4 linked regions of the Mytilus edulis genome follow. The protein of the gene in region 3 binds, or shares a complex with, the protein of the main gene of each other region. Links are inferred from orthologs where the notes say so. Each region holds a gene or a part of one and is shown on either strand. Other genes may lie near its edges.

Region 1 (7,159 bases), on a different chromosome or scaffold from region 3:
TGAGGCAGGGATTGGATACTACAATTTTTTCTCATACTGCTTTTACACATTGAATCATGATTATACTTTAGACCATGCACACAAATCATGTAAATCATGTTGATGATAAATTGACCGAGATAAACTAGCACAATTTGTAATAATTATAAACAAGGAATTTAAAAAAAATTTAGCCATTTCTTGGTAAATTGATAGTCCCTTTTGAATCAATAATTGTTCTATACCATACAGTCAGCATGGTCAGGGGTTATATTTCTAATAATATTTGCCTATTTTTCTTACATTAAAAAGTCGGAATTATCTCCCCTTACATTGTATCTTTCTTCTGTCCTTAGATAACTTGACATGTATAATAATTTTTGTGCATGACCACTGAAATTCTTAAGTTATTTGATTGGTCAATTTATGTCTTAATTTGAATTTGGAGTTTTATATCCTAAGAACTGTTATTTATATATATTTAATGTGTTTTCTTTAATTTAGTATTTTTACCACAAATCAGGCAGTTGTTTTCATAACTTGATTTTTCAAAATTTTGTCATCTCTGTTCCTCTTTATAGCTTGATCATGTTGTCAAACAGTGACCTATTATTATTAACATATAAATCATTTGAACACTGGAGGATGGTAATGTTTTACATGTTTTATTCATGGCAATCATACCAAATTTCATAATTTTAAATGATGAGGCCAAATAAAATAGTATGTGTGGTTCCAGTTACATCTGAAAAAAAGTTAGGGTAGGTCATGTAGGTAGGTAGGGATTATTTTTATTTTATGGTGTTTTTTTTTACATTGAGTCTATGGAAGCATCATTCTGACTTTAACAGTGCTTAATGAAAAATGACAATAAAATCTTTCGGGTACATGTAGGCTAATTTCAAGACGAAAAAGTAGGGAGGGTAGGGTCACTGGAACCACACATATATTTTTATTTGGCCTGATCTGTTGGAAAAGAGTCTGACCTCTATCCATGATATCACTGAGAATGCATCAGAGTGGTATCACCTCTGAACAACTAACTCATTTTTGTAACTCAAAATATGTGTGCCACCTCCCCTTTGCACATTCACCTCTTTTTCAAAACTGATCCATAGGCTAATACGTACAGACAGGTCCTCATTTTATAAATTATCTTTAACAATTTTCTCCTTGCGCAATACAATATATATATGTTTACCCCAAAATCCCCTCTGAATTCGTTTGTTAAAGGAAAGATCTTACATCATGTATACATACATGTATCTTTATGAATATACCCCATTTCCATTCTCAATTTTATGTACCTGCCAACTTTTCAAAATGTTCATGGGTGTTTTACGTGCAAGATGGCTCTTACCGTCTTAAAAAAACTTCAAGGGGATCTTCAAATGTACATGTATCTTATTGTTGTTTTTTGGCTTATTCATACTTTTTAAAGCATTGTAAAATTAACTGTTTTGTTTAAAATTTTGGACAAAATTGCTCTTTTAAAATATCTATTTGGGAGCTTTCATCGGAGAAATCCAATGCAAATAGTGACAGTTGGCAGGTATGATCTTAATGGAAAACAGAATAAAGGATTGCATCCTATCAATATTAAGGAAGCTGGCTTGTCATGTTTTAGATTTTTTGTCAGATTTTCAGAATCCTCTGGTTTTATCCATTTGAATGCCTTGAAAAAATTTGCCAGGTGACCCCCATTTTTCTTTTTGTAAATCTTTTACATGTATAATCATTGATAATGATAAGCCATCTGTTAAATTCTTATAAAATTTTAATTACTTTTTAACAATTTTTGAGAACTTCAACTTGTCAATGATAAAGCTATGAAAAGTCAAGAGAGAATATTTTCCCGCCAAAATTTCAATGGCTTATATTTTGAAAACAAGCACGGTGACCTATGTATTTTTTTTGCTCTTTGGATTCCTTTATTAATCCCCTATCTATACATGCTATACATTTGCTATATAAACTAGTGTTTTGAAAAGTTAATTACTCAAAGAACAACTTGTATTTACACAGACCTGCGTTAAACTTGTAGATTTATGAAAGGTACCACATCTGAGGTCAGCAGATATATGCATGATAATGAAACGGAACAGGTATATTAATAAAGATACTGAGCAGTTACATACATAGGTATAGGTATATGAGTATTCATAAAGATACAGAGCAGGTTCATTCATAAAGATATGGAGCAGGTTTATTCATAGATACATAGCAGGTATCTGCATAAAGATATGGAGCAGTTATAATCATAAAGATATGGACTGGAGCAGGTATGTTTATAAAGATACAGAACAGTTATATACATAGGCAAAGAGTAAACAGAAAAATACAGAGCAGGTTCACATGGTATATTCATAGGGGGGTCTCATTGGGGGGTTCTGATCCCGGATCCCACTTACTGTTTTGTCAGATTCCTGTATCCCACTTACACTATGTACGTAAGCAATTCTCATTTTTTTTGCAATTTCCCTTGTCCCGCTAAACTTCATTTCCAGTTTTCACACACAATAATTTGACTTTCGCGAGTCATGCTTACAAAATATCGGCAATACCGTGTCACGCTTAGACCCCAATGAGACCCATATGCATTTCATAAAGATACGGGGCAGGTATGTTCATAAATACACGGAGCAGGTATAATCAGAAGGATCATGGAGCAGGTATATTCATAAAGATATAGCGCAGGTATAGGTATAAAGGTTGTTAAGCAGATCTATATATACATCAAAGTGAAATTAATAATAACTTAAATTTGTTTGATTTCCACCTATAAAATTTGACAAATGTCTCATTTGATATGTCTGATTTTGTCAGACGAACAGGGGTTTTATCTGATTATTCTACAAGTTCAAAACTCAACTAAGTGAGTCATCATTACTTTATCAACTGACATACATGGAACATATTAAGAATTGTCGTCAGCTACGTTTCATTTCTGCAAAATATCAGGATCAAACTCAAAGTCTCGCCTCCTCTCGTGAGACAGCCATTTTCCGTAACGTGTCCGGGGTTTACTATTTTGACAGTACTTCCGGTGACAATTTTCTCTGTTTATTTTTTCTCTGATACAAAGTATGGCCATATATGCATTTTGCTCACATTCACAATGACTAAAAAAAAACATTTATTCCCACCAAAGTTGTTTTCAGGAAATGAATTTTCTTGAAATGTTTTACCCAGATAGATCAGTCGTACGTGTGCCAAATTAGGAGCACGATTTTCCTACCCTTCCGGAGCACCTGAGATCATGTACCCCTTTATCTAATCAATATGACAATGACTCTAAATATACTTACCACTACAAAACACCAGCAACAGTCCTAAAACTTATTTGTACATAAAGCGATTTTTAAACCTTCATACCTTAAAACCTAAATGTGTCAGTAAAACCATCTAGCTGCGGAACCGTATCTTTTAATAGTTTTATGGTCCTTTCTATATATCTTTTTTTATTTTGCGGATAGTCCACAAATAGAGAAAAAAAAATATAAGGACATGAGAGCTACGGTTCCTGTAGGTATAAAACAACCTTACCCAAGTACCCCGAAATTTAACTAAAATAAAAAAGGCCAATTTAATTTTTTGCTGTGATACATTCTTGAAATGTGTACAATTTGTGTACAATCTTGTGTACAATTTGGAAATTAGTATGGCGTTCATTATCACTGGACTAGTATATATTTGTTTAGGGGCCAGCTGAAGGACGCCTCCGGGTGCCGGAATTTCTCACTACATTGAAGACCTGTTGGTGACCCTCTGCTGTTGTTTTTTATTTGGTCGGGTTGTTGTCTCTTTGACACATTCCCCATTTCCATTCTCAATTTTATTGATGTCAGAGTTAAACAGTCATTCTCATCTTACGCTAGTGTCAAATTGGTAAAAAAATAAATAAAGTGATATATCAAAATATCCATTATATCGCTATTTGTCGGAGCAGGAACATATACATTGTATATTGAAGAGACTTGACACTACATGTAGTTACCTAATATTAGCCGATTTCATTAACAAGTCATAGTTAATCAATAACACCATACAGAAACCGACATCTGTAAAATATGTTCTCGCATTGACTAATTACTACTGATTTCATTAAATGCCAGTGCACCTAAATTGCATTCTGTCACATCAAAATTGTCATAATTCACATTAATTTCATCACAGAAGAGTACAAAATGCAAAAAGGGTAATAATAAAATGGCGCTGATGGCACTTTACATCAAAGAAATCACATGTATATTGGTAATTTTATACATGTATGACAAAATATACCTACATTAGAATGATTAGAATAAAATTTATATTTGTTGAGTTTGTTTTAATATGGATAATTTATTGAGCAATCTCAATGCTTTTGCAGTGTGATGCTTCAAAAATCTATTAATCTAGTAAAGTTTCATGTAGCTCGGTACTTTATTAATTTTATACTGAAAAGCCTTTATGCATGATCAGAATCATTTCCCTTAGATATACTGATCCCAGGTCAGAGGTCTCAAATAATTATTTGATTGTGATTTGTCAAAATCAGTTGATTTTTGTTATCAAGCATGTCAAGTAGAAAATGTATATTTTAGCAAAATGCACTAAATATTACCGTTGACATGGTTAACATCCTTTGGTAAGATTTTTTACCGATATTTTTCATGAATTGCAAAGGTACCCTTCTTCATCAAGGTTCCTTTATTACAACCCACCTTGCTATGACGCCTTCAAATAAATTCAGAATGGAAAAGGGGAATGTGTCAAAGAGACAACAACCCGACCATAGAACAGACAACAGCAGAAAGTCACCAACAGGTCTTCAATGCAGCGAGAAATTCCCGCACCCGGAAGCGTCCTTCAGCTGTTTGTCTTTCTTGCTGTGACACCTTCCTACTATGTCTTAAGCGTCCAAGCTTGTTTTTAAAACATGTTGAATAAACAAAGACAATCAACATCGACATTACAGTATTTTGAAATTTAAACCTGAAAGTTTTCAAAACATAGACTAAGGAGATGTATGAATCCTCGTATGATTGCCAATGAGACCTCTATCCACCTGGCAGCATGACCAGAAAACAAATGAGTAGATATAAGGTACACATGTACATGTACTGTAGGTCAGTGAATATATAGTCATTAATGATAAGTCAAACCCATACTAATTTGCAGGTTTCAAAAGGTGACCTATACATGTAGTTGTTAATTTCTGTGTCATCTGGTCTCTTGCGTAGAGTTGTCTCATTGGCAATATATCACATCTTTTTTTTTAAATTTCACATACATGACATAACAAAACGGAAAACAATTGAAATGAGAAAAACAACAAAAGCCTGATTTACGTACAAAACCAAAAAAACTTCAAACAAAAATAAATATATATATGATAAACATGTATGGTAACAAACAACAACCACTGAATAACAGGCTTCTGACTTGGAAAGTTTTGTGGCACAATCAATTAATTTGTTTAAATATTACATGTATTGGACATCTAGACATTACTGATAACTTTTAAATCACAAATTGCACTCTAATGAAGCAAATTTATGACATAACGCCATATTTCTATCCTTATTTTTGTAGCTATTGTCATGATTGTATAATGTTTCTAATTTATTTTTTAGAATGGATGGAAATGAGAATCATTTAATAGTTAATTTCACTATGGACAGCTCAAATATTATGAACAGTATTAATGGTGACGATAGTAATTCCACAACAGAAAATCTCCATTCTGGTAAAGATAGTTACCATGGTTACTTTTTATTGTGTTAGTAGGACGAGTCCTCAAACACATTCCTTTTTCTTAAGGTGGTACCCAACACTTTCACTAAAATTGATTTGACATGTTTAATTTTCATAAAATTTTGTCAAAGTACAAATGTATTTACTTTGACCCTTTAACAAAAATATAAAAATTTCAAAGATTTTGAACCAACCGTTTTGTCAGAAAAATTACACTGGTTATATAGCAGTTTGACATACACCAATTTTGATCATTGAGAAGCTTAATATTCCCTTTACAACACAACGTAATTAAAACGTTAAGCTGACTTTATAGAGTTATCTCCCTGTAGTGTTAGGTACCACCTTAATTTGCATATATTTTCTTGCTATACACACTGAGAGACAGATGATAAACAATGACAACATAATTTTGTAAACGTTTATACATTCATAAAATTGAAATCTTTTGAAATTTTAACTCTTACCATGTTTACAATAACTCAAATAATTCACTCCCTCTCCCATGTCCCTGTTAGATTTTCTCGTTCAAAAATGCAGCCATCATTGACATAGAGCAGCTGAATATAATGACTAACTTACACAGTTTATCTTGACAATAAATAAATTTGGGCTTTCAATGCTTTTATAACTTGTTACTAAATATCTGCATTTTTAAATTTCTTTTTTTAGAGCATTGCTGAGATGAACATGCTTCTGGCGTGAAAAATTTCAATCTTGGTATCTAGGACGAGTTAATAATGATAATCAATTTGAACAAAACTGATGACTGTCTTTTTTTGTAGGAATAGGTCGGGAAACACATGTAACTTATTTAATTTCTGGAGAAACACAGCATAATATTTTACCTGTAAAGTCTTGTGAACAGTCAAACATTTCCATTATGTCTGATGTAGATGTTAATTCTATTCCTGAAGATGCTGTTGTCATAGCAACAACAGATGGAGATATTAAAGAACATGTGATCGCTTTGCCAACAGAAAACACAATTGATGGCAATGAAAATACTGTTGCCATGGCAATAACAGACAATGACCTTAAACATAAGGTTATTTTGCCTGCAGACATTGATGACATTGGTACACAAGTCATAACAATTCCTATGGATATGTTGCAATATATGGATGGGAATGAAGGGCATGTCATCACCATACCAACAGAATATACCTCTTTAACTGAAAGTGAACATCAACAGGTCATCACCATGCCAACAGAATATGCAACTACGAATGGCTCTGGACATTTTGAATATGCAGTTAAAAATGAAGATGACCTTGGACAGGTCATCACCATACCAACAGATTCTGTTACTGAGGTTGACCTTGAAAAACTCATATCCATGCAAGGTGAAGGATCAGAAATGGAATCTCAGCCTCATATCATATATGTTTTGTCAAAAAATGAATCAGAAGTGTAAGTCTTTTGCAATATATATTTAGAA
Region 2 (7,103 bases), on a different chromosome or scaffold from region 3:
CCATCCTCGTATGTGTGTGTCATTTGCAGTGGCTATCTGTGTACAATTATGATGAGGATTCCATTGACCACAGGTGAATTTGGAGTTACCTTTACTATCTAATCCTGTGGAAGCTGTCATCTGTTAACAGATTTTGAATGCAATACTTACACATTTTCAGGGTATGAAAAAATATTGTTCATTTTATACAATTAAATCATACTTGCTTTTTTTTGCAAAGTTTAGATCACTAAAAAATGTAATTTATTAACTGTAAAATTGGAAATTCCAAAGACTTTACAAGTAGCAAGACAAAGGGAGGTAATTCTGATCCTGGTGTGATTTTGCATAAGAAAAATAAATATCAGTTGCAAGACAAAATATAGAAATATTAGATTATGCTGTTAATGTATGATGTCAGATGATAACACAGTTTAGTTTTTGTTTAAAAAAAAGTTCTGACAGATTATTTTACCACAATTGAAAGAAGGGTTGAAATAAGTACCTTTGCAGTGCTTGAAGATGTGTCAATATCCCACAATACTATATGGTTATCTGCAAAGCCTATCACAGCTGAAGTATCTCCGGTTGGGTGCCATAAAACACTGTAAAAAGTAGGATATTGTTGATTTCATGTAAGTAAATACCAGCTCAGATATAACATTTGAAAAAGAGGCTGATGATTCTTTTACATTTCACAAGCAATTTAAATGTATATATTCAGGACAAGAAAATGTTAAAGTGATTTGAATGTTTACTCTGCTTTTTTGGAACTTTGTGAGGCCTTTTTTTTGTGTTATTATTTAAACGTGAGGAATACAAAATGTGCATTTGATATTCCAATCCTGGTATCTATATATGATGAGTTTATTGAGCTAGACAGACACACACAATCTGTGAGTTTGAACATGAATATTATTTATAATGCTTTTTTTCTAACTTTTCTGTGACTGGTTTAATACATTCATGATTTACCTCTGATTAAAACATGCACAAAATTATAAACAGACCTTTTCATGTCACCATATTCTGAGTTATTCAGGTGACAGACCAATCGCACAGCTGGATGTGCTGACTGGTCATCTGCTTGACCACTATCAAAATCAGATGGTAGTCTCCAAATAGCTGCCTTCATTTCTGTCTTTGATTCTGATGCTGCAGATAAAAACATATTAATGTATTATGAATATAAACACTGCTTGATACTAAAATGACATACAGAACTTTTAAATTTAATTTTCAACATACTAGTTCACAAGTCTGTAAAAGGATGTGTTATCCTACGTAGACATATTCTGACTCTGAGCAAACCAGTATTTGCTCTTACTGCTAACTGCTGTGTACTTATCAGACAAGCAGCAAATATGAATTTTCAAGCCTTTGATTTGCTGTGACTTGGGATTGAACTGAGGACCTTCCACACTCAAAGCAAGAATTCTACTACTTAGTACTCACTGAGGTGTTTATACCATTGAATGATGATGTACAGGTATAATCATCATCTTAGTTATTGTTTACTAATATTTCAAATACAATTTAGTTAACTCTTTATTTATCTGTAATTTTATAAAGAAACAGATGACTAGGTTGTCCTTGATGGTGATTTTGTATTTTTTTAATTTTAGTTTCTATGCGATACATGTATACCAGTCATGTCCAAGATCTGAAATAAGAGGCAGGATGGTAAAAAAAAAATCTAATCAACTTACTTTTTTATTATATACAGTCATTTTATTTTATTTTGATGACTTCAGGGATTAAGGTTCTTTGTCAATTTGATTAGATGCTTGTTATGTGCCCCTTTAATACGGTTTACCCATTCCAAATATTTAGCTTAACTTAAATTTACTTTTATTGTAACATGTTGTCATTAAGTCTTTATCAATGGTTGAGGCCTTAATATTCCAGATCTCTCCTTCAGGATGTAGGTAAATGTTTTTGTTAATGATGTTGTTTTCATCATCAAAATCAATGTGATGAATCTGGAAAATAAAATAACATCAGAATCATTTTTTTCCTGATGGGATATCATTCAAAACTCAATTAGACTTCACACATGTATCAGGTTATACTGAAAATTAGGTTTTCCAGTGAGGTTATGCATAATTATAAAACTGACAGAATCTTTAGGTATCATATCTGTTGTTATACAGACATGTAGAATAGAAGTCTCATTTTTAAAGGCCTTATGGTTGCCTATACATTCTATAATTGCTGATATCCACTTCATTTGAACTTTGGTGGATAGTTGTCTCATTGGCAATCATACCACATCTCCTTATTTTTATAGTGTTATTAAGTTTTAACTGATTAGCACAGATTTTATAACCTCAAGTGTACCAGAACCCATCAGGCATCTCATCATATTTGACCAAGTAAGCAATAGAAAATGAAACAAAGACATAGGATAGAACAAAGGTAGTGAAAAATAATCATGCTTATCAAAATTATTTCTTTGCCCAATTCAGTATATTAAGGTTTCAATAATAATACAATGTGTCAAGATATTTAAATAATGATTCATGTTTAATGAAGAATTTTGTTCCTGCTGATTTACCTGATTTTCTACTCGTAAAGACTGAGTTCCAACAAGAAACCTGATCTTATCAGTTTCTCCTGTTTGTGCAGTTAATGCTTTGGCCTGTTGAATGATAAAAAAAATATCATTCTATTAATAACTTAAATTTATAGAAGAGTTATACAAATAATAATTGTGTCACTGCGACTGCATGCACTATTTCTTTATGTTTAATATTGTTATTAAGCTTTTACATGTTAAACATGTACTCATATCATATTTCATGTGTCATGTTCATCATTTGTACTGATTATCATATTACATTGACGAATGACAACTCCAAATCAAGCACACCTTATTACTAACATGCTCTCTACTTCCCGCTAAAAAAATACTGTCTTACCTGTAAAATCTTCTTACACCTGTGCTCTAACTCTGAATTCAGGCATTGAAACCTGCTGATGGCCTTTGCTAATAGCAATATATATTTACAAGTTGTTTTCTATTTCTTAGATTTGTGGTTTGGATCTAAAGTTTTTGTTTTTAACTTTTTTTGTATTCTTTGAATACCATTTGTTTAATGTTATATTTATACTATTTGTAACTATCATTGCATATATAAATTTTTTGTGGGCACTTGCATGTATGAACTTATATACACCTTATCGCTATTTGTCCGCCATTACTGGATATCACACAGGTTCCTGTAAAATTATGACGTCATAAAACAAAATGGCTGATGCCACAATTAAAAAGTGATTGTTGTATGCGTCAAAAGTTCAAGCGGCCAGGTCAGCCGGGATTAGCGATAAGGTGTATTGTCCTATCCATATGCAAACTAGAATGTGTCCATAGAACATGTACAGTGGACCATGAAATCGGGGTCAAATCTCTTATTTTAACATTTTCGTCCCCATTCACAGGTTATGCCTGCCTCATATTATGAAAAAATAAAGGATGGCAGGTAGATGAAACTTACATAAATGAATCATGGATTAGAAATGAAAAAAATTCTTGAGACCCGATTTATATAGACTCAAGGACGTCAGTCGGCTCCAGGTGCAAAGAAGCAGTGCATCCATTTTGGACGGGCAACTATCCAATTTATATTTGGGACTAGTCAAAATATTTATAACGTCTTGGAAGGCTTTTTTGCTTTGAAAGAAAAAAATATAATAGCCTTGCAAGATGTCATATTCATATAATTTATTATTTGGACTAATTTGGGACGAGTTCTAAAGCGATTGATGCCTTACAAAACCAATTAGTATGAGAAGCTGACATTATGGTTATCTTCCAGGAAAAGCATTTTTTAACAGTTTTTATCAAATATAACGGAGATAACCTGAAATTCTAGCCCATAAATAACCGGCGATTCGTCGTCCATATCTGTGTGTCTGGTCCCTAAAATTATTTCTGTCGGACAGGGGATGGGGGGAAACGGAAACCAGTAGCCTAAGTCAATTTTCGGCAGTCGTAAAAAGTAAAACATAAAATTATTTAATTATTATTTTAAAACAAATAACTGTAGCTAATGCCAGACAAAATGTATTTGATGGCAATGTAATCTGTTTCAATACTCTTTTTTATTCCATTCATGAAATTATTTTTTATGACATTCTACACATAATTTGATGACGTATACACAGCACAGTGTCCGTTCGTCGAAAAAATTAGCAGGTTGATTTCAATTTACCCTTTTCTTTTATATATACTGTTTGCCCCTAACGTCTATGACAGAATGTCCTGTATGCTTATCCTTTCATACCCCATTAACATTGGAGTCTGAAATTATATAATGACAAATAGTAAGAATGGAAAATGGTGAATGTCAAAGCGACAACCTGACAACCCGACCATAGAGGGGTCTCATTTGGGCTGTCTGATCCCAGATCCCGCTTACTGTTTTGTCAGATTCCCGTATCCTGCTTATACTATGTACCTAAGCGATTCTCATTTTTTTGTTAATTTCCCGTATCCCGCTAGACCTTAATTCTAGTTTTCATGGCACAATAATTGACTTTCCCCTGTGACGTCACGTTTACAAAAAAATCGGCAATTCCACGTCACGCTTAGACCCCAATGAGACCCACCATAGAGCAGACAACAGCCGAAGGCCACCAATGGGTCTTCAATGTAGCGAGAAACTCCCGCACCCGTAAGCGTCTTTCAGCTGGCCCCTTAAAAAAATATGTATACTAGTACAGTGATAATGGACGTCATACTAAACTCCAATTATACACAAGAAACTAAGATTAAAAATCATACAAGATTAACAAAGGCCAGAGGCTCCTGACTTGGGACAGGTGCAAAATTGCAGCGGTGTTAAACATGTTTATGAGATCTCAACCCTCCCCTATACCTCTAGCCAATGTAGAAAAGTAAAAGCATAACAATACACACATTAAAATTCAGTTCAAGAGAAGTCTGAGTCGGATGTCAGAAGATGTAACAAAAGAAAATAAATAAAATGACAATAATACATAAATAACAACAAACTATTAGCAGTATCATACTATCATGAAATATATGAGAAGAACATAACCCGTGTCATGCCAACAACTGTTTTTTAAAAATAAATGTGTTTACTTTAGTTCCGATGCAAAGACCCTATAAGTAAATCAATATTAAGGATGTACTTAGGTGAGGTTTTGGATTTTTGTCAAATGTTCAGACTCCTTGGTGTTTTTCCATACAATACAATGTAAAATATTTTGCCCCATAACACCCATTTATTTTTTCATATAAGACTTAATAGCTCATGAAAGGTCATTTACCAACATTTTAGAAGATTCTTAATTTTCTTTCTTTTGTTTTGAGACCCAAATAATACCAATGCAAATATAAGGTAAAAGTCTGAGTCAGCCTTTTCCCGCCATATTTTAAATCTCAAATATCTCGAAACATCTTGTCGATATCGTCTGAAGACTCCTTATTGATTTTTTTGTCATTTAATAATTATCTTTACTCATTTTTGCCTAATAAGTTAAAAATGATAATAGAAAGATGGAAATTTATTCATAAAGCAAACTTGATGAGCAAAACAAGATCTACAAGAAGGTTTTTAGCAAGGAAATCATCTGGCGACTCTTTAAGAAATTGCCCATTAATAACAATTTTACATTTTTTGTTGAGTTTTTCCTTAAAGGGGCACTAGCTACGAGATTGATAAAAAATCAAATGTATTATATCTTATGCTCAATCATTAATGGAATGTAATTTGTATATTGTATAATATAAAATTAAATAGATCTAGAATAATCCGAATAGCAGGAGTTTGCTTAATTTATTTATATCTATATTTATGTTTACATTGCTTATATGGTCATCGGGACGGATGACTTTAGGGGTCAACTCGACAATTAATTAGATGGCGTTTAGACTAAAATACACACGAAATGAAGCTACATATTTTCATGCGGTGCCCTGTTAATTGTTTATTTTAGACTTTTGATATTTTGTATAAATGTTTTACATTGTTATAAATTAAACATGAGAATTTGATTAAAATCGGTGAACATGAATTTGACAGCTAGTGCCCCTTTAATGTTGAAATGGTAAGTGAACTCTTATTTAGAGTTTTGTGCTTTAATGACGATATTTATCAATATTTATCAATTTATCAATTTATTTTTACACATTTTGTATTGCAGCGGTACAATTTCTTAAGATATTTTAACTATTTAGTTCTAATCTGTCAGTGAGCTCATTAACATTACAAAAGTTTAAATTGTTTAGCTGAACATCTACATTTTTTGTAAATTCTACATTATTGATCATGACACACACATTTGAATAATATATTACATGTAATTATTTAAACACAAAACATTCATTTCAGTAAAGTAGATAATGGCTGATGATAATGTTGAAGAATTTTTAGAAGATGAATCTTTATCAGAAAAAGAATTCCACCTCCAGAATCCTGATGTAGTTATAAGGGGGACAACTCTTAGACACTCTGCTACAACAGATACTTTAGATTCTGTTTATCTAGAACCAACAGCAGTTGAGGAAGATGTTCAAGATATTATTACGGCCATACCAGATTTAGTTAAAGGTTATATTGAATAGTAATTTTAAAATGAGTTGAGATTTAATACTAGAAAAAAATAGAAAAAATATTTGAATAAGCTCTCGCCGCGATATAGCCTTTTTGTGCTAATGCAGCGTATAGCAAAGAACAATCAATCAATCAATACTAGAAAAAGAGTCTTAAAAGACAACTTGACTACAAGTTAACTACAAGATTTAACTTCCAATTCGCATTATATATTGTACATGTTGTGAACTTTAAATAATGAAATAAACATTTATCTTACCAAGACAAGTATTTGACAAACTTGTTAAATTTACATGAACCTGAAAAGTGTCCTCATTTCATGTCACTTTAAAACAAAATGACTATTAAACAAAGTAACATTATGCATACATGTACATGTATGTTAACTTAATTTTAACCTTTCACAGCCTTGAATTGTATTCAAATCTTGTGGAAATATACAGTTGATTCATCTTAATACATTGTTACAAGGTAAGGCACATTTTCTATGGATTGGTGAATATGAATTGATGAAGACTATCAGGTTCTGTCTTTAATGTTTTA
Region 3 (7,768 bases):
ATCTGCTAACACATTGAGTTTCCCTGGGACATGACGAACTACAATCTGTAGATGAAGTTGATTGCAAAGAAGAAGGATTTCTCTTGCTAAAAGATACAGCTCGTAACAATGAGTTCCCCCTTGGTTTCGCAAATAAGCCACCACAGTGGTGTTGTCCGTTGCTAGAACCAGAGATTTGTTCTGCAGTCGGGACTGAAAATGAGACAGGGCAAGAAGCACTGCCTTCATTTCTAGTATGTTGATGTGTTCCTTCAAAAGATCTGGAGTCCACACTCCTGACACTGAAAGACCTTCCAGATAAGCTCCCCAACCGAGGTTGGAGGCATCTGTGAACAGAGTCTGATTTGGGACTGGAGAGGACAGAAGTTGGCCTCTCAAAACGTTTGCTTGAGAAGTCCACCAAACCAAATAAGGACACAATTCCTGATGAATGATTGGAACTGGAAACTCCCAATTCTGTGTAGCTGAGAGCCAATGTTGGTGTAGATAACATTGAAGAGGTCGAATGTGAAGGCGACCAAGTGGAACAACATCGGCTAGAGAATTCAAAAGACCTAGCAGTTGTGAAAACTGGCGAGCAGTGACTGTTTTTTGAGATAGAAACAGATGAATTTTTGAACAAAGATTCTGAAACTTTTCCTGAGGAGGTCGAACTATGCACTGATGAGTAAGGTAATGTTCGCCTAGGAAAATAAAGTCCTGAGACGGAATGAGGTCCGACTTTTTCCAAGAAATGAGAAACCCCAGAGAGAGCAGCAATCTGATGACTACATCTGTATTGAGATAGAGTTTCTCGGGAGAAAGTTCCTTGATCAGTGAGTCGTCCAGATAAGAATGAATCTGAATAGCCTGTGAATGAAGTTGAGCAATTGCTACCTGCATAAGTTTGGTGAAAGCTAGTGGTGCAGTTGACAGACCAAAAGGGAGAGCCCTGAACTGGTAAACCCTTTTGTTCCAAACAAACCGAAGGAATTTGCGGTATGAATGGCAAACTGGGACATGAAAATAAGCGTCCGTCAGGTCCAGGGATGTTGTCCACATACCTGGAAGAATAGAAGCTCTTATTGAACGATTGGTCTCCATTTTGAAATGGGGAATAATCATATAAGAGTTGAGGATAGACAAATCGATGACCGGTCTCATTCCTCCGGTCTTCTTCGATACAAGGAAGAGACGAGAATAGAAACCTGGATCTATTGAAGATACAGGGACTTCCTCCACTGCCCTCTTTGTCAAAAGAGTCTCTACTTCTGTTTACAGAAGAAGAAATTTCTGTGGATCTTGAGTATTGGACAGTGGGATAGGAACAGGTGAAAGAGGTAGTTGTTCTTTGAATTGAAGAGTCAATCCCCCTCGAATTACTGACAGAACCCAACAATCTGAGGTAATACTTATCCATTTTTTTAGAAAATGAGTTAACCTCCCCCCTACTGGTAATTGAGAAAGAGGAGTTTTGTAGTACATCTCTGGATTGGGTTCTGACAGTAACGAACGAGGGGGCAACTTCCTAGGAAGAGGGGTTGGCCCTCTTGCCACCTCTCTTAAAACTGTTAGGTTTAGACCTAGGGATTGAAGATTTCTTAGGTTTATTACCTCCATCATTAGTGATTTTTCTCCTCTTCTCCTGAGAATTATAAGATGAGCCTCCAGCAGAAGAATAACTACCTCGCTTAGAATTATTTCCCGAAACAGATACATTTACCTTCACTGGGACTGGAGTTTGATTGAGATGTTTCTGTACCTCATCAAGTGGTAACCCAAATATCTTCTCATCCAAAGGAGACTTGATTAAAGCATCCTTAAGATTATCTGACACCTTTGCCTTCTCCAAAATTTCAGATCTTTTGGATTAGGTGCAGTTGGCGATGGAACCCATAATCAGCAATTGGGAGGCACCCAAAGCCTTGTCTACCTGTAATAGGAAAGGTTTGACCTCTGGTGGAAGAGAAGAGTCTTTAAGAACTGGGGCAACTGCTGATAAGAAATGTTCAGCAGTGCCTAGAACATGAGAAGCGTTTCTAAGAAGATTCTCTGTTTTAGACCAAACAGACTGAGTAAGACGCAGTCCATCGGCGGGTTTAGAAGAAATAGTAGATGATAACACTTTGTCACATTTGGGTACTAGTTTGCCCAAAGTAGAGTCAAAAATTTCATAATCCTTAAAGCGGAACTGCTCAGAGAATGAGGCCAGACCGAAACCACTAACCTGGGAAAATTGGGACTCATTAGACACAATCCCATCACTAATGATCTGCAAAGAGTTGGACATATGATTAGACTGTGGAAAACTACTATGAGATTTATTATCATCTACAGGCAGACCACATGAAGCCTCAAAAGTGGAGGTTAGTTTCTTGGGTCTGGGAGGTGACTGAAAAGGCACCTTGTTGTGTATAGTATCACATTTAAACGAAACTTCAACGATCCATAAATAACTCTCAGTAAAACGTTCAAAATAGAAAACAAAAATATGATGTTATAAACCAAACTTGATTTTCGACAGATAGCAGGTTTTGGAGCACTTTGAAAACGACAACTATGTGTAACTGAGAAAACGTGAAACGAGGACTACAACAATCATGGAAACCAGACAAAACGTTTAAGATTAATACAAAATGGCAAAATATTGTACAAACAATGCATAGAAATCTAGCTATTGACAGCATTTATTTTATGAGTTTTATGAATGCTAAATACTAAAATGTATATAGTCTATATATATATCTGCATTTCAGTCTGCAAAAGTGATGCAGACGCAAAAGAAACAAGTGTTGTGTTCAGTTCGTGTCTGCAGCAGCAGCACCTTTCTAGTGCTAGACTAAAAAATAAATCCAAAAAAGGCAAGGCACTGGTTTTGTAACGCTCGTCCATCAGTTTGAAGTTGCTGGGTGTTACTTTTTGTTTCAAAACTAAAATAAATTTTTTTTTTAAGTTTTAATCAGAATATCGATTTTTTTTATGGGTTTGTATGCTTTTCTTATGTGTATATATTATGGTGTTTTTTTTAAGAAATATATTTTAGTCTACCTATCAAAGAAAAACTTACTAGTATCAATTTTGATATTTATGTTTTTCTTTTTAAATATTTATAAAATACACAAGTTAAGAGACTGACTAGTTATTCTAAAAGTAAAGAATATCAATTTAAATAATTTTTTAAAGAAGACATTTTGGTATACTGTAGACATTCCTTATTAAAGTGTATGTTTCTATATTTTTTCTATTCTTAACTGCTACACTTCTATTAAAAACTTAATTAAGACCGGCAAAATAGCAAAATTCTATGTAAATCACCATTTTGCCGGAGCCGGCAAAATAGCGCCAAGGAGACTATTTTGCCGGAGTCAGTAAAATAGCCCCTAAGAGACTATTTTGCCCGAGTCGGCTCATAGGATTGAACAGATACACAAAGTATACAGTTTACATATACATATGTACAGCATTAATGTCATAAACTATTTCTAACATATAGAGGAGTTTGACATACAATTTACATAATTGGTAATAAAGGTACATAACAAACAATCAAGTGTTACGAATTCTTTCCGTCTAATAAAGGTATTTACCCAGATTATTTAATTCCTTAGAATGTCTTGCAGATAGTATTTGAACTAATTTGGTTTTCTATAACAATATGACTTAATATATTTACTTCTGACATTTACATACTTATCACACTCTAATATAACTTCGATTACTTTCTTATCACACATAGTACAAATACGCTCATTTCTGGAAGTATCGTCCAGTTTCTACAGTAAGTTGAATCAATGTGAATCTATAGATATGATATATGTTCTAGATTCGGGCAAATACAAACCGTGATCTAAAGATAGTTATAAATATTCCTTTTATTCACTTACAATTATAGATTGGAATCATTAATAACAACAAATTCTCGCATGCAGTATAGTACACGTAACAGGGATTCAAGAGTATGATCTCAGTATCTGCTCTCATCCCATTTTTCTTCATGAACTATTATTTTTATCGGTGAAATGTATGTATAGTTTTTATATATTATTACGTTATTTTTCAACTGTACATAAATTATTTTGATTTTGTTTCTATTTTCCTGGTTACCTTGTAAATTATCAAATTTCAATCATATAGCCGATGACCAGCGAACAATCTCTAATAAATGAAGGATCACTCAGGAATAGATTAATTACCTTAGCTGTATTTGGCAAAACTTTTCAGGAATTTTTGGTCCTCAAATCTCTTCAACTTCGTACTTTATTTAGCCTTTTATAAAAAAAAATAATTCGAGCGTCACTGATGAGTCTTTTGTAGACGAATCGCGCGTCTGGCGAAATATAGAATTGTATTCCTGGTATCTATGATGAGTTTATTTGCAACCCGGCCACTTGGTCGATGCCACTCGGCTGGTGGAGATTTATTTCCTCGAGTGTATCACCAGCCCAGTAGTCAGCACTTCTGTGTTGACTTGAGTTATCATTGATATGTTTATAATTATAAATTAAATGTTAACAAAACTTTGAATTTTGGAAAAACTAAGGCTTTTCCACCTCAGGAATAGATTACCTTAGCTGTATTTGGCAAAACGTTTGAGAATTGATGGTCCTCAAATCTCTTCAACTTCGTACTTTATTTGGCCTTTTATAACATTTTTGATTCGAGTGTCACTGATGAGTCTTTTGTAGACGAAACGCGCGTCTGGCGTAAATATAAAATTTTATATTCCTGGTATCTATGATGAGTTTATTTGAAGAAAGAAGCAACTAATCCGGAATTACATATTTCACCGTTATAGATCTTCAATTAACATCGATCAGACGTTTCCGGAGAAGACGACACTCATTCCTTGAAAAAAACAACCTTTGATGTTAAGGAAAACAAGCGTAGGTTTAATGCATTACGATAATATCACAAAAAATCGATCACCAATAATTTATTTAAAATAGATGATCGTATTATATATACTCAGTCCAGTTTAGTGTGGTAAATAATCTGCATATCTGCTCCTGAAAGATGCATATTTTTTTTTACAAATTACTGTCTTCATCTGTTCATACACCACTATGCTTATGATATATATCGTCATGTCATATAAATAAATAAATAAATAAGCTTTATTTAGAGTCGGCATGGTATATAAAACATAGACAAACATAAGCTCTAATGCGCTTTTAACCGACATATGTTTTCGTATCAACCACATTTCGTTTGTTTCGACTGCACACGCATACATTGTTGTGTGTTTTTTCTGTTTTTATATTTGGAACAACAGTAATACTACGTTTACAACCTGACAAATGTTTGACATATTCAAAGTCGCTTTTTAAGACATAAGAACTAAATAAATTAAACTTACCTGTTCAGCCATTTTTATTTAATGTTAAAATTAGGCAGTGTCTGCGCGTACCCGCATGTGGGTACGAATAGTCAAATTGACATTCGTAGGCTACGCGTACCCACATCCGGTTTTATAATAAAATGCAATCAAATCGGGAATTAAACGTGAAATATATACAGAAATTATCGATAATATGGGGATTTCGAGTAGAACGAGTGAAGGGTGATAATTAAGGGTATGACAAATAATATTTTCGAATTGTATTTATAAGTTTAATAATAAAATATAATAAACCTTGCAAATTAAATGCACACTGATTGAAAATGAAATATACCACTGGTAGACCTATTTGGCAAATGACCGCGATTTTTGGCAAATCTCCGCGGAACGGATAATAAGTAGAGGTTCATCGTAAATTTTTCGTTTTATAGTATATTTTGCGGTTCTCCGGAGATTTTCCGTGTCTCAGGGAATTATCCGCGTGTCTCAGGGAATTATCCGTTTGTCCGATTAAACTGGTGTGTATTGAGTCAGTGATAGAACCAGTGATGCGTGAGCGGCGGTTATTAATAGATCGTTGTATAATCCGTTATCTGTGAGCAACGGTTATTAATAGATCGTTGTGATTATATACACTGTTTACAGTCAGATAAAGATAACCGTCTTATTACCCTTTTCAGTGGAGAAATAAAAAGCGGTGGTTTTGATATTAAAGTTACTTGCAATTTAAATATCGAATTTAGTTCAATAAAGAATAATCTATTTAAATGTGACCAATGAACAGGAAAATGCACGTGGTAACTTTGCAATACTACAAATATGTTCACCTTACAAAATTCTTCTTTATTGTCATGTTAAGATAAATCAGTTCCTGTAAAAACAGTAAAAACAGAGTCTTGATTACTGCAGATGCCGTAATCCGACATAATGTCATACTGATTTGACACTTGTCTAGTGTGAGTAACACCTGCTGTGATATTTTTGCAATACAACATGGACAAGCGGAAGGTCGTAAATCAATCTGTTGATCCGAATATAACTTTACCTGTACAGATATTTATTTATGGAGGATATCATAGATACATTTAATAAATTGTATTGTATTCAATGGAGATAATTTAAATACACAATATAATTTATTAAGACATATTTGCAGGTATACATTGAACATGTTTTCTCCAACCAAGAAGGTTTGATATTGAATGCTTTTTTTTTTTTTTTTTTTTTTTTTTTTATCTAACTTCGATCTGATCAGTCTCGTAGATTATAAACAAGTAATTCGTTTATAGTTATACATTGTTACTCTTCTAACGTCTTTTTCTTTGTGCTATTAAAAAAAACCACAATTTTCCACATCAGATCGACATTTATATATATGTCGTGTACAAGTTGTGATTTTGTACAGGTTATAACATGTACGAAAGTATTGTACATGTTATAACTTGTATAATGGAAAAATACAAGTTATAACATGTACAAAAATACCTCGTACATGTTATAACCTGTACAAAATATTGCTTAAAAATGGTTTTAACTTGTACAAATTTGAAAACTAAAAATATGCTTCCATTATTGCAACAGATGTTATTAACCTCAATATGTGTAAATGTTTGCACCTGTCCTAAGTCAGGAATCTAATGTACAGTAGTTGTCGTTTGTTTTGTTTCTTGTTTCTCGTTTTTTTATATAGATTAGACCGTTGGTTTTCCCGTTTGAATGGTTTTACACTAGTAATTTTGGGGCCCTTTATAACTTGTTGTTCGGTGTGAGCCAAGGCTCCGTGTTGAATGCTGTACATTGACCTATAATGATTTACTTTTTTAAATTGTTGTTTGGATGGAGAGTTGTCTCATTGGCACTAACACCGCATCTTCCTATATCTATTGAAGGTGTCACTGTATCGGTTATGATAACGTTCAAGGTTGAAATGGTGCACCATTGCTTAAAATCAATATATACATTGCAGGGTTAGTCTTGACAACTCATAATAATCCGGCAACCTACAAAGATTTAGCAGGAAAATGAAAGTTGATAAGATAAAAAATGAGAATAAATTTTTGACTATCCTAAGACCCTCATTAAACACCTCTCCTGTATTCCTTACTTTGTGATCATTTTAAGAGGGGCAGGACCTTTTTGGGACGTCGGGATCAGGTATTTTTAAGCTGATAGCCAGGATAGATTTCTCTACAAATAAAATTGAGAATGGAAATAGGTAATGCGTGAAAGAGACAACAATCCGACCATAGAGCTGACAACAGCCGAGGGCCACCAATACCTGCTTTCAAAGCAGAGGATATGTATATCTAAAACATCAGAATGACATTCGCCTCATGCAATGATAGCTTGCAATTTATCAAAGAAATAATAATTTGAGGTATAAATTTACACAAGTCATACTGAAGGTAAAAAATGTTGAAAGTAGATTCAAAGATATTTATAATGAAGCGT
Region 4 (7,683 bases), on a different chromosome or scaffold from region 3:
GGGTATCTAGTTTGAAAAATGTGTGGCGTGACCCGGTCAACCAACCAAGATGGCCGCCACGGCTAAAAATAGAACATGCAGTTTTTGGCTTATAACTCAAAAACCAAAGCATTTAGAGGAAATCTGACATGGGGTAAATATGTTTATCAGGTCAAGATCTATCTGCCCTGAAATTTTCAGATGAATCAGTCAACCCGTTGTTGGGTTGCTGCCCCTGAATTGGTCATTTTGAGGAAATTTTGCTGTTTTTGGTTATTATCTTGAATATTATTATAGATAGAGGTAAACTGTAAACAGCGATAATGTTCATCAAAGTAAGATCTACAAATAAGTCCACATGACCTAAATGGTCAATTGACCCCTTAAGGAGTTATTGCCCTTTATAGTCAATTTTTTTTTCTCTGTTACTAATGGGCAAAGTTCATTATAGATATAATTGTAAGAAGCAAGAATGTTCAGTAAAGTAAGAACTTCAAACACATCACCATCACCAAAATACAATTTTGTCATGAATCCATTTGTGTCCTTTGTTTAATATGCACATAGACCAAGGTGAGCGACACAGGCTCTTTAGAGCCTCTAGTTAAGAAAACATTTCAGATACATGTACATGTATAAAATTTTATGGGTGGATTGCTGATAAGCAATATAACCCATAAACTCATACTAAGTAGGACTGTCAAACTGTCATCTAAGATATGCTTTTTAAAAGCTTTGTTCAATTCATGCCTAACAAATGAGTTGAAATGTAAACAGTAATTGTTTACGTTTTCAGATAACATAGATGTCGAAAATATCACATTAGGCATTTAGTTTTAATTAAAGTGCAATAATGTTTGTCATATTTGAACCATTTTATTAAGCATGTCAACCATTTGTTTTTAATAAGCAGTAGTCATAGTTTTATTATGATCTCTTATATTTATTTAAAAAATAAATAAAATTTGATTTCCTGATAAAATGTGAGTTGTTCTTTTTGACTCCAGTCATTGGAAAAGGATAAAGGATCACTTTATTTAACAGAATGTGATGAAGTTAAGCAAGTCACCAAAGATTACTGGTTTATGTCAATTACTTGGAGTTTTTTACAATAAAATTAAATGTCACAGAAATGTAGACAGTGGCATGCATCTCGCTGGTTTTGGGTCAAATTTGCTTAATTGAGATGCAACCATAGTTTTAGAAAACAATGTAATTGAAAAAAGTAAAAATCTAAATTAAATTTTAAACCTAAAAAGTAAAAATCTAATTTAATAATGTAAATCATGCTATTGCTGAGGCAGTTGCTCAATTAATACCACATATGATGATAAATTTCATTTACAAACTGGCAGCTATGAGATATTGTATAATGCTGTAAGATGTGTTACAACACCAAAAAAGCAATCAATTCATCAACAAGCAGTTAGTTCCTGACAGTGACAGAAAATTTGTCCAGAAGTTAGGATGTCTATTTCTAGAAGTAAGCAATCTCTCTCTTTATAGTGAGAGAGACCACAATGTTTCCATACTTACAACTGTTTTTTATGAAGCTTTTTTGATGGATTCTGGATACGGAAAATTGCTCAATTATAATGCGAGATTTAAATTATTTTTTTTTACATAAGAATGTTTGTTTCATGAATATTAATCAGTTGTTGGTTCATATGACTATAGTCATTGTACAGAGTTAGTATATATGAATCTTCTGCTAAAATCGTTAAGTCATTTTTGTTTAAACTACTTGAGAAGGACAAGGTATATTTATATGGCCATGTAAGTTTAAAAAAATAAAATAAAAATACTGTACAATCATTATTAATAGTTCAACTTGAACTATGTCAAGTTCTACTTCTGTAATCACTCAACCAGTCAACGTTGAGGTTGTGACTTAGAACCTTCTTGTGCAAGTAATTTTGACTCCAATCTTAATTGACAAGGATTATCAGTTTTACTATTGAAGGTCAGTGGTTTTCTCAAGGCACTCCGGCTTAATCTACTAATAAAAACTGGCCGCAACCAAATAGCCCCACAGAGGCCCTAAAGAATGGCGTTAAAACATCAACAATCAAACAATCAAGTTAAGAAAATTGAAATATTTGTCAATATAAAAACATAGAGATGTGGTATGATCATCCACGGGAAAACTATTTATCGAATCCCAGATGAAGTAACTGAGCAATTATATGCATCAATACAGCTTTCAACAATGAGAAAAACTCAAGCTTTGATGACACAATTTGTCTCTGATTTCATAAATGGGACATTCTACAGCAGAGTTTTATAATTTTAGTAAAAATAGGCTAATTTAAGAACGTTTGTATAATTTCACCATTTTGGTTAAATTTCATTTACTAGTAATTTTTAGCTGTACAAGACAAGGAATTGGTTTACATTTTTAAACAAAACTACAACATTTAATAAATAATACATTTATTCAACATTTGCAAACTAGAGGGTGTATTAAGTACATTTTACTTTAATATCAATTTGACCCAAACCTCTTCTTAGTTCTATACCAGTTTATATTTATCAGGAAGATGATGTTTCTTCCAATGATTCCATTGTAACTCACATAGCAACAGAAACCAAAACTGACATATAAACAATAACTCTGACCAAGGATGTATAACTAACAATGACATATAACTATCTAATATAAGTCCTTGCTCTTATTGAGGAAAGTGGGGGATCTGTCAGAATTTTGGAAATCTAAATTGTGATATACATATCTTCTAAATTAAACTTTTATGTTATCATCATTTCATAGAACTTTCATGGATCAATTAAGGCATACAAAGTGCAAACTGGGATGAAGTTAAGCATTTTAATAAGAATAATAGGATAAAGGACATTTTATTTTCAATTTACATTAAACAGTCATCCAGCATGATCATAAAAAATAGGTTTTTTTTAATAAAATTATCAAGATTCAAGTCTACCGGTAATTTACAATGACCAATGCACACAACTATTACAATGATCAAGGTAGAGTGATCAATGCAGACAAATATTACAATGACCAATGCAGACAAATATTACAAATGATCAATGCAGACAAATATTACAATGATCAATGCAGACAAATATTACAATGATCAATGCAGACAAATATTACAAATGATCAATGCAGACAAATATTACAATGATCAATGCAGACAAATATTACAATGACCAATGCAGACAAATATTACAATGATCAATGCAGACAAATATTACAATGATCAATGCAGACACAGTACATATTACAATGATCAATGCAAATATTACAATGATCAATGCAGACAAATATTACAGTGATCAATGCAGACAAATATTAAAGCGATCAATGCAGACAAATATTACAGTGATCAATGCAGACATATATTACAATGATCAATGCAGACAAATATTACAATGATCAATGCAGACAAATATTACAATGATCAATGCAGACACAGTACATATTAAAATGATCAATGCAAATATTACAATGATCAATGCAAATATTACAATGATCAATGCAGACAAATATTACAGTGATCAATGCAGACAAATATTAAAGTGATCAATGCAGACAAATATTACAGTGATCAATGCAGACATATATTACAATGATCAATGCAGACAAATATTACAATGATCAATGCAGACAGATATTACAATGACCAATGCAGACAAATATTACAATGATCAATGCAGACAGATATTACAATGACCAATGCAGACAAATATTACAATGATCAATGCAGACAAATATTACAATGATCAATGCAGACAAATATTACAATGATCAATGCAGACAAATATTACAATGACCAATGCAGACAAATATTACAATGATCAATGCAGACAAATATTACAATGACCAATGCAGACAGATATTACAATGATCAATGCAGACAGATATTACAATGACCAATGCAGACAAATATTACAATGACCAATGCAGACAAATATTACAATGATCAATGCAGACAAATATTACAATGATCAATGCAGACAAATATTACAATGATCAATGCAGACAAATATTACAATGATCAATGCAGACAAATATTACAATGATCAATGCAGACAAATATTACAATGATCAATGCAGACAAATATTACAATGATCAATGCAGACAAATATTACAATGATCAATGCAGACACAGTACATATTACAATGATCAATGCAAATATTACAATGATCAATGCAGACAAATATTAAAGTGATCAATGCAGACAAATATTACAGTGATCAATGCAGACATATATTACAATGATCAATGCAGACAAATATTACAATGATCAATGCAGACAAATATTACAATGATCAATGCAGACAAATATTACAATTATCAATTCAGACAAATATTACAGTGATCACAATCTGATATATTAAAAAAAGATCCCATGATCATGCTTTGAATACAAGGATCTGACAACACTCACTTCTGAACTCTGTTCTGAATATTATAAACATCAGCATATTAAAAATACCAGGCTTAAAACTATTGAAGATGTGTTTCATTGCGACAAGATCAAAGGAGTCAAAAGGCTTTTAAACAGCAGAAAGTGTAGAAGAATAGTCAGACTTTGCTTGAACAAAGTGTCTGTATTTTAATAAATTTCAATGATCAAAGCAATACAGACGAATTTTATGAATTGATTGCATTGCAAGCTCGGTAATAGGTAATGTATTTACCTCCCCTTTTCAAGATTATAATGCGCATGATCGTAAATATGGCAGATGAAATCCAGATCGTCATGAGCAAAAAACGACGACTCATCGATCAATAACAGCCTTGTAACTTCTTAAATATATAGAAATAATGGCACAGTGCAAACAGAATGCACAAGAGTTTGTGCAGAACACGTTTAATCCACATGTTGCTGTGTTATGCAGCCGTGATGCGGAAGTCCTATGTCAGAAAAATAATTTGACATTTGTGGAACTTGTTCAACCTTTTTGCCGGTTAACGTCAGAAGGTGAATCTTCTTTAGTATATTAACCACACTTATATATGCTTTGTCTTAACTCTGAAGAATGATTCCGTTTCATTTAGATAAGTTCTTGAGCATAATCAGTAAAAGGGGGCGGACCTTATGTCATACTTAGTCCCTATGTTTATTATTTTGCAATATCAAAACAGCATGACATTACTTTTCTGTTAAAAGTTGGTCAATGACAACTGCAGCTGCAAAAGGAATTATCACACTGCACGCTTTATGTATCTTTCTTACCCGTTATATTTTAAATCAATTTTCAAAACTGAAAGTGACACACATACATCACTTGTCAAACTGACTGCCCTTATAATTATTAAATCCAAAGATGAGAAGTAGTTGGAAGGGTATACAGTTTATCTGTTGGATACTTAACCCAATACTTTGTCAAGTTGCAGCTACTTGAATAAATGTACTGTATTGACAGTAAATTGAACCTAATGATGATGGTTACTTAGTGGTAGTCCAAATAATTATGACGTCTTGAAAGGCTATTATAATTTTTTTCTTTGACGCCTAACTTCGACCTCAATGCTGAAGCCGCCATTTTCGGTTGGACTTTGAAAGCATATTTTGCTCTCAACTTTGAGACCCAATTGAGCCAGCAAATTTTCATTGAAAGCTAAAAAAAATTGCATACATAAAGATTCTTACCTTTTATGTGTTTGTTACTGTTAGTGCAAAATATTTCAAATTAATCCCTTCAAAAATAATAATATAAGTAACAGTTCCATCTGAGGCGGGAACATGTCGACTGCATTTTTTAAAACGTTTTTCTGATTTCTTTTTATGAGATTATAAAATAATTTTTACACCAAACTCAGACCCGAATTTCTGGAACCTTTGTTAAACATTATCTGGAAATTCAGGTCCGTCAAAATGTACCGAGTTTGGTTCAAAAATATGTTTTATACTCCTAAAATGAAGCATCTTGAGGAGAAATCAGCTAAACGTTTTAATAAAGCAGTAAGTTCCCTCTTAAAGTCCAACGGAAAATATGAGTTTGGCGTTATGACGTCGCACTAAGGCGTCAAAGAAAAAAATTATTATAATAGCCTTTCAAGACGTCATAATTATTTGGACTAACTTAGTGGTAGAAGAAGAAGGGAATTGGCTGGAAATTTATTGTCTATGAAACAGAATATGCCCTGTTCTAATTTTTGATTATAATGGGTTTTGAATTATATGTAGCATAATGCTAATAATGAAGGAATTAAGTAAAATTGAAAATGGAAATAGGGAATATATCAAAGAGACCACAACCTGACCAAAGAGCAGACAACAGCCGAAGGCCACCAATGGGTCTGCAATGCAGCATGAAAATCCTGCACCCGGAGATGGTCTTCATCTGGCCCCTTAAAATTGAGTACAAGTTCAGTAAAAATAGAAGTGACATTTAACTCCAAACTATATAAATGGGCAAAAATTTAAAAAACATTAAAAAAACATACAAGACTAACAAAGGCCGGAGGCTCCTGACTTGGGAATGGTTAAAAAATGTGGTGGGGTAATACATGTTTTGTGAGACCTCAACCCTTCCCCTTTACCTCTAGCCCATGAAGTCTCAGTCTGATGTTAGAATAGGTAACAAAAGAAACTATAAAAAAATGATAATGATGTATATATAAACAAAGGGCTACTAGCAGTTCCTGACATGCCAGCTCCAGACCTCAATTAAACTGAGTGAAAGATTGCAACACTCTCCTTGTGAAATACTTGTGCATTCTATGGCAATTCTTCCTGACATTATTGGGCTTGAATACTTTGATAGTAGAATCTTAACTGGAAATTTTGATTACATTTAAAACCTTCAAATTGTTAATTGTCAAAATATCATTAAATTTATTTCTACTGATAACGAATGCTTCATGTTTATTCAATCATTAGGACTTATGTACACTTCAAATATCTACTAACTTTTATTCAATATAGTGAATTTTTGAAACAAAAGGGAAAAAAATTAGTGGAATGACCCAAATATATTACTCAATTTATTTCACTTGACTGGGCCGAGTTTATCCAGTTCGCTCATAATAAACCAGTCCATCTATACATAGGTGTTTTAGGATACACTCATCAATGCATTGTCCAGTCATTCTTTTGTAAATTCCTTTGAGGTCACTGTTAGGTGATTAGAAATCAGTAATAACTATAACGGCAATCATCGTAATCACACACATTTTCAAATCGACTGTCCTCATGCAAATGAAATAACAATGAGAGAAATGTATATTCAAAAATGTATAACTAGTGTTTGTATACAAAATTGGTGTTTTAAGGCATTCCTTACTTTTACTATAATTATTGTTTACCTCAATGTAGACTAATAAATTTCAAAATGATAAGATTTGAAGTATTTGTATGACAATGAAGTTCTATTTACAAGATTAATATTGAGAAGGACATATTGCAGGTTGTAAGCACTTTAGACTGTAGGTAACTTTTCACACTGCAAATTTCCATAAAATACCATTATAGGAATAATAATTCATAATACAATTCTGTGTCATTTGCATCATTTATTTAAAGCAAAACAAAATCTGTTATAATTAAAATTTTGAACAAAACTGAAGAGTTGTTTTATTCAGGTGTAATAAAATAAACCTTACTCTACTAGTAGCATGGTAGTCTATATCAATCTATTTAGTTAAAGATCTTTCTTAAAAACATTTTTTAAATTATAAGACTATTAAAAAAAATCTGTAGGTCAAATAAATGATATAAAAACTTCA

Evidence for each region.
Region 1: trafficking protein particle complex subunit 11-like (region 3) and trafficking protein particle complex subunit 9-like share a complex: the UniProt entries of both Homo sapiens proteins name them as parts of the multisubunit TRAPP (transport protein particle) complex. The link is inferred for Mytilus edulis from reciprocal best matches to the Homo sapiens genes TRAPPC11 and TRAPPC9.
Region 2: trafficking protein particle complex subunit 11-like (region 3) and trafficking protein particle complex subunit 12-like share a complex: the UniProt entries of both Homo sapiens proteins name them as parts of the multisubunit TRAPP (transport protein particle) complex. The link is inferred for Mytilus edulis from reciprocal best matches to the Homo sapiens genes TRAPPC11 and TRAPPC12.
Region 4: trafficking protein particle complex subunit 11-like (region 3) and trafficking protein particle complex subunit 8-like share a complex: the UniProt entries of both Homo sapiens proteins name them as parts of the multisubunit TRAPP (transport protein particle) complex. The link is inferred for Mytilus edulis from reciprocal best matches to the Homo sapiens genes TRAPPC11 and TRAPPC8.

What each region holds. Positions count from the first base shown.
Region 1 is NC_092355.1:34,285,942-34,293,100, reverse strand, and holds the start of trafficking protein particle complex subunit 9-like, read right to left. Parts: upstream 3,005-7,159; 5' UTR 2,887-3,004; exon of another isoform or gene 2,870-2,886; intron 1-2,869. Other genes in the region: uncharacterized protein, read left to right, coding at 5,599-5,710, 6,504-7,131. UniProt on the Homo sapiens protein: Functions as an activator of NF-kappa-B through increased phosphorylation of the IKK complex. May function in neuronal cells differentiation. May play a role in vesicular transport from endoplasmic reticulum to Golgi.
Region 2 is NC_092344.1:109,874,802-109,881,904, reverse strand, and holds the start of trafficking protein particle complex subunit 12-like, read left to right. Parts: upstream 1-4,084; 5' UTR 4,085-4,177; intron 4,178-6,338; 5' UTR 6,339-6,349; coding exon 6,350-6,557; intron 6,558-7,103. Other genes in the region: EARP and GARP complex-interacting protein 1-like, read right to left, coding at 1-120, 485-584, 990-1,134, 1,829-1,961, 2,537-2,620, 3,843-3,884. UniProt on the Homo sapiens protein: Component of the TRAPP complex, which is involved in endoplasmic reticulum to Golgi apparatus trafficking at a very early stage.
Region 3 is NC_092349.1:48,629,503-48,637,270, forward strand, and holds the start of trafficking protein particle complex subunit 11-like, read left to right. Parts: upstream 1-4,751; 5' UTR 4,752-4,862; intron 4,863-7,768. UniProt on the Homo sapiens protein: Involved in endoplasmic reticulum to Golgi apparatus trafficking at a very early stage.
Region 4 is NC_092348.1:42,862,556-42,870,238, forward strand, and holds the start of trafficking protein particle complex subunit 8-like, read left to right. Parts: upstream 1-4,666; 5' UTR 4,667-4,776; coding exon 4,777-4,933; intron 4,934-7,683. UniProt on the Homo sapiens protein: Plays a role in endoplasmic reticulum to Golgi apparatus trafficking at a very early stage. Maintains together with TBC1D14 the cycling pool of ATG9 required for initiation of autophagy. Involved in collagen secretion.